Drosophila melanogaster: one gene and its partner. The gene in region 2 interacts genetically with the main gene of each other region. Each region holds a gene or a part of one and is shown on either strand. Other genes may lie near its edges.

Region 1 (4,408 bases), on a different chromosome or scaffold from region 2:
CCAAGTTTCACCAGCAATGCCGGCAGCGTGACAAATGGGAAGATGCCAAACAAATCCACCACGTACAGGATGGCGATGAAAAGCGAAAGGTTCTCCGGTTCGTCCTCGTAGGCGCGGAAATGGGGAAGGGCGCTGAACCGCGATCTTCGCAGGAAGGGCAACTGGTCGTGCTGATGCGAGGGCGTTAGCTGGACAGGAGGCCGACGCTTTGGAAGCGCAAAGGACGGAGCGCGCGAAGGGCGTGGCGCGGGTTTAGCATTCTGGCGACGGAAGAAGAACATTCGCGATGTGGACTCTTCCAAGGGAAGCAAGCAACTGCAGTCCCTCTAAGCTTAAACTAATGGTGGCCACTCTCGCCTGCAACTGGCATATTACCATCAACAAGTTCTGACATCAGACACCAAAGCGAAGCCCTGCAACGACTGCAATGTCAATGCACGTCGCCTGAAGTTCAATGCCTTGTCCCTCCACTCCGTGAAGTGACCCACAAAAGCATGGGCAGCCGTCAACTTGGTAACGAACGTGTTTATTTTGCATATTTATATAATATCAACAAATAGCTTCCAGCGCCCCTGTCTTAATCCGCGTGAGATTCGTCTTCCAGTTTCCTAAAGTTGCACTTGGGAAATCTTCTGCTTCTTTGCTTGGCTCTGAAAGAGGGGAATTGATTAGAAGGATCTAAACATAAGTTTGAAAGCAAAACTCTGGATTCCATCTATGTATGAAATGCAATGGATACAGCGGTTAAGGATACCCACCTCCTCTTTCTCATCTGCCTGCATGGTGATGACCTGCACCGCTTGTCCAGGACCGGATCGCAGCACCTTGGATCCACGTAAAGGCACCTCCCCGCAGCAGAAAACCCGCGACGTAGGCGTATGCTGCAGTTGCGGGCTTGGAGTGTCCGACTCGTCCATGTCCTGCTCCAGCTGGTCGCCTATAGAGTAGCTGTTCGCGTTCTTGTTGTTGTCCGTATAGGCGTGGTTAAAGAGCAAATGGTTGGGACGCACCGCATCCGTTATATACTTACTACATTCCATGGGTTAGGCGGGCATGGTCAGTACAATAGCAACAAAGTTAAGGTTATTGTTTAATGGGACTACATTTTGGCAACAATTCGGTGTAAGTAGATGATACGCACACTGACCACCGCAAAACTATGGCTAATTTAACAAGGGTATTTACAAGGGCTAAGATTGGGCAAAAATAAACATGCATTAAAGGAATCACTGCTAAATAGGAACTTGAACTCGGATCTGCTCTGCTCACTCACGCTCCATGAAGAGGCGCCACGGCTCAAACAGCTTATGGTGCTGGTGGGGCAAGTGGTGCGATTTGCGGTGCTGGTGGGTTGGAAAGCGTGTGGGCGACGAGGGCTTCTTTTTCACGTGCAAAGCGCGTCAAGAGTCGCATTCGGTCGGAGCCGGTGCATCCCGCCTGCAGTTTAAGACATAAAAGGAAACAATACAAAGACTGCTGGTGGTGCACGTTAAGTGTGTTCTCTGCTGTGTGAAATGGATTAAGGTGGCGCCTCATTCAGTGTACGTATCGTTTGAAAGATGGGTAATTGTAAGTGAACATGCAGGATTAAGGGGAGGTAACAGGAAGACCACCTACGATTTAAAGTTAAACAATCGTTGGCGCTTGATGTACTCCAGCACCAGATCGTCTAGAAGGTACTTGACCGACTGGCCGCGTCCTAAGAGCCGCCGAATCAACGTGGAGCTCACCTCATTAGGCACCCAGTTGGTGATTAGCGTAATGTTGCTCTGAAATGTGAATGGAAATGAATAAGAAATAATGTTGTCGAGGTACTGTCTCTCTAACCTGATACTTGGTCAATATGTCGGAGTCAAAGATGAATTTTCCTGGGTTTGAGCCGGCCCGGGTGATAACTACCAAACCATGGTTAGCCACAATGTCCTCAATCTGGGAACAATCATATAAAAAAAGGTACTATTCAAATATATCAAGACTTACATCGGCCTCTGCCCATAGGCCTGGAACAGCAAAGGACTCCAGCAGATCGGCACCGCACAGTAGCTTCAGATGTACAGGATCCCGACTGTCGTGCAACCCACGAGGCAGCCATCCGGGTAGATGTGTGTTCTCCCCGTCATCTCCGCCTCCCCCGCCGGAATTTATGTGGTTATTGATATAGTTCTGGTGGTGCTGGAGCACCGCCTGCGTGCGCATCCACTGATTCTGGTGCACCTCCCAATCGGACAACCGAATCCAATTGGAGCTCTGGGTGGCCAGCTTGACCATGGCACATCTGTCCAAGGCGGAGGCCAGACCCTTTTTGCCATATGAGTCGTGCGTGGGCGAGATGATGCCACCTACCACTCTGTGGGTTCCCTGCATTTCGAAGTGGTCCTTGGCTATCTCTGTTGACAAAAACATGCCGCGTAATTTTATCGATTATGTACCGCAGAATTTCACAATCTAGTTTAACTCACCGAACATCCGAAGGTGCATGGGTGTGGGTGGACTGAAGCATCCGCAGGCTATGAAGGCGATCCGCGGCAGCAGGCTTTTTGTTTCCTCGATGAATGCTGACATTTTCTTCGATTTTGAGCGTCTTTTAAAAGATCCAAACCGCCGGAAGCATTCGCTTGTTATGTTGTTCTTGGGCCAGCTGATTTTCACAATCATCTGTTCGGCTTGTTGTTATTTTCCAACACTAAACAGCTGTGCAGTGGCTACCACCTCTGACTACCTTTGACTTGTTATTCGATAAATGATAACTTAATGTAACTTAATTTTTTGATTTTTAATCATCAAAAAGGCAAGAGTACATAAAAATGTATTAAAGCCTGTTTTACTGATATATCAAGAAGTATACAAACATCACTGCGTTTCTCATTAATAAGTACTTTTTTCGGTGTACCACACGAACATTGCTTTCGCTTGCGATAGTTAGCCAGCCCTGCCAGAACGATTGCCTGACGATACTAGTGTTATCGATTAGAAATGGCGTCCTCACTGTCTTTCTTTTAAGAAAAATTCGTGTAGTCTATTTACCATTTAGCAGCGTTGTGTGTGTCCGTTAATTGTAAGGACACGCTGTTTCTTAGAGAGAACCGCCTGGCTAGAGTGTCCGGAAAGCGGAAACCAAGACGATCGCAGGACGAGGTCGCGGAGCCGACTGCAAAAACAACGGCCAGCAGGCAGCGATATGAAAATGCATTTGTAGCCTTAGCCCACAACACTTGCACACACACCACACACTCTCGCGCACACTCACACACAGGGAAAAGGAGGTGGAGCAGAAGGAGCCGAAGCAGGAGAGGATTGCAAGGGACACCGCTGCAGCATCGCCATCATCTGCGCCAGGTGGAACACGAGGGTCAAGAGGCGTCGGCGGGGGAGGAGGAGCAGGAGGTGGAGGAGCGGCTGCGGCGACGACGACGACGTCCACGACCACGGCAACAACAAATGGCGCTGGTGACGGTGCAGCGCTCTCCCAGTGTGGCGGGCTCCTGCTCGAATTCGGTGAGAGGAGACTTGATGGTTTTCGCGTGTGCGTATGCGTGTGTGCTTTGTTTTGGTCACCCCCACTCTGCCAGGAGAGCCAATTACGGGCAGGCTCTTTAGTGCGTGTTCCGCTTTTGGCCATGATCCTTTGTGTGCTCGGATGTGCTTTTCATGCCCAATGTTTATCATCCGCCAGCTTGTTGCTTACGCTTTTTGGATTTCGACGTTCAACGTTCGCGTGTGGGCGGTATGAGGCAGCGTCATCATCGTCATCGGCTGTGCTGCGCTGCGCTGCTTTTGGTGTAACCCAAGCAAATCCGCAGACGTCGCGACGTCTATATTTTTCAACAGACTTTTGCATTGCCTTATTTGTCGTTTTTGTCGCTTTCCGCTTACCGCTTGTTTTTGTTTTCTTCGCCGCCCCACCGCCCAAAAATAGTTCGCGAGACCTTGACGTCCGCCTGCACAGAGGGAAAAATTAATATCGGGGGTTGATCAATTTAATTTTACAAAACGTTTTAATTCAGATATGCTCAATATGTCAAATCGGTATTTTTGAACACATAAATTAACATTTTATTATTTCTAAGAAATCAGAAAATATAAAAAAAAAAAAAATACTTCACTAAACCGGAATCTTTTTCGAACTTGTGACCCTTTTCTCAAAATCAGACGGTATTCAGTTGAACAATCAGATTTCTTGGAACTGCAGATACAGCTTTGCTTCTTTTCCGCCCTTGAAGTGTAGACTATAATCAGGAGTTTATCTTACCCCTTTGCAAAATAATGAGCATGCAAGTTTGTTCTTTGCCAGACGACATCCTTATATTTAGCCTAACCCCACGGGTGAGGTGCAGCAGGATAAGGTATTCTTAAACACCGAGTAAACAACTTTCCTTTCTCTATAACATCAGGATGGCGAGTCCGAGGA
Region 2 (3,287 bases):
TTCCAATGGCCTGGTGGAGCGGCACTTTGTGAGGAAGTACCTTCTGCCCCGCGGATACAATGCCAATGAGGTAATCTCGGACATATCCAGCGATGGCATCCTCACCATCAAGGCTCCACCACCGCCGCCAGCCAAGTACTACACGCCCGGAGAGAGATTGGTCCGCGTTCATGAAACCGGAAAGCTGGCCCTGCCCTGGAAATAGTGGACCATGTGTCAAAAATCAGGAAGGCAAACAGTGAATGTGTTTTTACCAAACCCAAATCCCAACCATCGAATGCGCCTAACTCAAGGTGAACTATTTTCGGACACCAAGCAATTGCAGCCGAACATTTAAATTGGATTCAAACATAAATAAAATACAAATTGTACCCGTAGTTGATATAATAAATGCGCAATAAATATTTGGTAGAAACACTGGTGTTTACGAATGGGTCTTCACCTCGTCGCGCCCAATTCAAATCTTCAAATCGATATTTCCAAATATTTGCCTCTTTCAAAAACCAACTTTCATATACAAAAGTCACAACAATTTTAATTTTCCACACCAGGTGAACAAAAGGATTTATTAAATTAATATGAGTATTCTAGTCTTTAGCTCATTACAAATACAATGCAATAAATTAGGAACAATTAAGTAGGGGAATGATGATGGATGATGTTGGATGATGATGGCTCCTTTACTTGTCCTTGCCGTTGGGTGCTCCGTTCTCCTTGCCCTTCACCTCGCTTTCATTTGCCTTAACGTTGAGGTGAGCGGGTCCCACTTGCTGAATTTGAATGATGCGCTCCTTGGACTTGTCCTCGACGGCCTGCGGCTTGGGAATACTGACGGTGAGCACGCCATCCGACGACAGCTGCGAGACCACTTGCTCCGCCTTGTAGCCATCGGGAACCTTGTAGCGGCGCACAAAGTGGCGCATGATGTGACCATGGTCGTCCTGGCGTTCCTCATGCTTGCCCTCGACCAAGATGGAGTCGTCCACCACCTTCACGTTGAGCTCACTGGGCTTGAACTGGGCGACGTCCATGCACACCTGGAATCCATCCTTGCCCACATGGGCGGTTGCCGGCCAGTGAATGTCGTTGCGGTTGGCCATCTCGCGCCGCAAAGCCAAAACCTGGCCGGCGGGCGACGATGGGCATATCGGCGATGCGCAAGGGCATCCGTTGATGGAACGGCGCTGCTGAGTGCCAAGGGGCAGCACGTAGCGGGAATGCGGATGCAATCCCAGTCCAAGCTCGTAGATGGGGCTGCGGGGCTCCTGGAGTTCATCCACAAGCGAAAGCAGAGTAGATAGCGACATTTTTACGTTTCCTTTAGGTTATGTTCCTTTTGCGAGATTGAAATATTTTTTCTTTGGTTAAGTTGAATGAACTTGTTTGACTTGTAAGCAAAGGTTTTTAATCCTTTTTTTTCTCGTTTGAAGTTTTGCTTTTGCGCAAAGTTGCTTTGAGTTGTTCACTGCTCGATTTTTGAATTCGATCTGTGCTCTGTTCGTCAAGCGACGCTGCTTTTATACCCGCTGGAGCTTTTCTAGAAGAGTCCGGAAAGTGACAGAAAAAGGAAAGAGTAGAGAGAGAGAAGAGAAGAGAGAGAACGTGCACAGAGAGAAAAAATTATGAATATAGCTTTGTATCGTTTGATAAACGAGGGATCAAATTAGAAATTTCTTTTATAAAAGTCTAAATTGAATGCTGCTCTAAAAACAAAAAATAAAACTAACTAACCTTTCCCAATAAATGCCATGAGTTTCGAGAAATTTTAAATGTAGTTGTTGTCGTACGCGCAAAAGCAGAGCTAGTGCGCCTGTATGAGTGAGAGAGCCGAAGTTTCTAGAGAGTTGTTGCAATTTTCTAGAAAGAGCGCAAAAGAAACAGCCGGCTAACGGCAAACAAAACAAAACGTCAGTTTTTTTTATTCTGGTTTTCCTCTTTATTAAGTACATTATTTCGTGTTTCTGTCTTTAAGTTTTACTGGAATACTTGTAGTTGTTGTCACATATGTTTTTTAGAAAATCATACATACATATAACGCCAGCAATCTCCCACTATTAGTAATTGAGTGCTTTTCCCGTCAGCTTTCTCGCTTCTTTTTTTTTGTGTGAAATGCAAGAAAAGAAAACACAAGAAACACGTATGGAATAAAACGCACGCCTACCCGTGCAGATTATTATTTGTTCTTAATTACTATTTATGTTCTTTCTTTTAGTTCAGTCTTCACTTGGCCAGTTCCTCGGTTTTGGCTGCAGTGGCTCCATTTTCGCCTTGGTTTTTGGCCAGTAGAATGGCCGCATCTACGGCTGCCAGTTCCTCGCCGCCCTTCTCCTCCACTTTCTCTACTTTATCAACCTTCTCCGCCTGCTCCTCTTTGCTGTCTTCCGTGGAGATTTCCGGTTTCTTGGCCAGCGGCATTTCCACATCCTCGGCTGCTGCGACTGCTCCATTGCCGTTATTCGAGGCAACGGGCACTTCGTTGGCATTTGCATCCTCTGCCTTTTGCTCCTCTTCGATGCTTATAACGGGATTGGGTGTGGGTTCATCCACATTGGCAGTCTCTTCGTTTTTGGCCAACGCCACTTCCATGGACTCTGATTCTGGTTCTGCAACGCCATTGTTGGCACTGGAAGTGGTTCCTGCGGTGGAAGGGGCTTCCACTGCAACAGCAGCGGCAGCAGCAGCCTCATTGGAAATGGGGGGCGAAACAGCCGGCATTTCCATCTCTGTCTCTTCCTGACCGTTGCCGTTGCTCTCGGCGAGAGTGAGCGAGAGCGAAGGAGTGGGTGTGGGTGCAGTCGGATTTAAAGTGGAAGTGGTGGCACTAGCTGCCGCCTGCTGCTCTACCTCTGACGGCTTTGGCGGCTGCGCATCCTTATCCTTCTGCTGCTGCGATATCTGCTGGATGTCTACGATGCGCTCCTGTCGTTCCAGGCTGCCTTTGACGACTGGAAGTGGTGGCGGCGCCTTCACCGTCAGAATGCCGTCCGAGGAGAGGGTCGAGTGCACCTCGTTGGGATCATAGCCCTTGGGCAGGATGTACTTGCGGATGAAGTGGCGCGAGATCACCCCGTGGCCATCCTCCTTCTCGTCGTGCTGACCCTCGACCACGATGCAGTTATCGATGGTCTTGACGGTCAGTTCGTTGGCGGCGAACTGCTTCACATTCATGCTCACCTGGAAGCCGTTCCTATTCACCACGGAGTAGGCGGATTTGCTGGCCGCCGGTTGGCCACTGGTGCTGCCGCTTGCCCCGGACGTGCCCTTATCGCCCAATTCCTTTTCCAGCT

Evidence for each region.
Region 1: of Hsp26 (region 2) and Nmnat, changing one suppresses a phenotype caused by changing the other (phenotypic suppression), as found in Drosophila melanogaster (one study listed by BioGRID).

What each region holds. Positions count from the first base shown.
Region 1 is NT_033777.3:24,943,505-24,947,912, reverse strand, and holds Nmnat (nicotinamide mononucleotide adenylyltransferase), read right to left. Parts: upstream 2,677-4,408; 5' UTR 2,656-2,676; coding exon 2,460-2,655; intron 2,388-2,459; coding exon 1,981-2,387; intron 1,930-1,980; coding exon 1,828-1,929; intron 1,770-1,827; coding exon 1,618-1,769; intron 1,438-1,617; coding exon of another isoform or gene 1,401-1,437; exon of another isoform or gene 1,080-1,400; intron 1,030-1,079; coding exon 759-1,029; intron 651-758; coding exon 609-650; 3' UTR 513-608; downstream 1-512. Other genes in the region: mah (mahogany), read right to left, coding at 1-281; ssh (slingshot), read left to right, coding at 4,264-4,323, 4,392-4,408. UniProt on the Drosophila melanogaster protein: Catalyzes the formation of NAD(+) from nicotinamide mononucleotide (NMN) and ATP. Essential for viability.
Region 2 is NT_037436.4:9,375,882-9,379,168, forward strand, and holds Hsp26 (heat shock protein 26), read right to left. Parts: upstream 1,547-3,287; 5' UTR 1,308-1,546; coding exon 681-1,307; 3' UTR 537-680; downstream 1-536. Other genes in the region: CG4461 (uncharacterized protein), read left to right, coding at 1-205; Hsp67Ba (heat shock gene 67Ba), read right to left, coding at 2,221-3,287.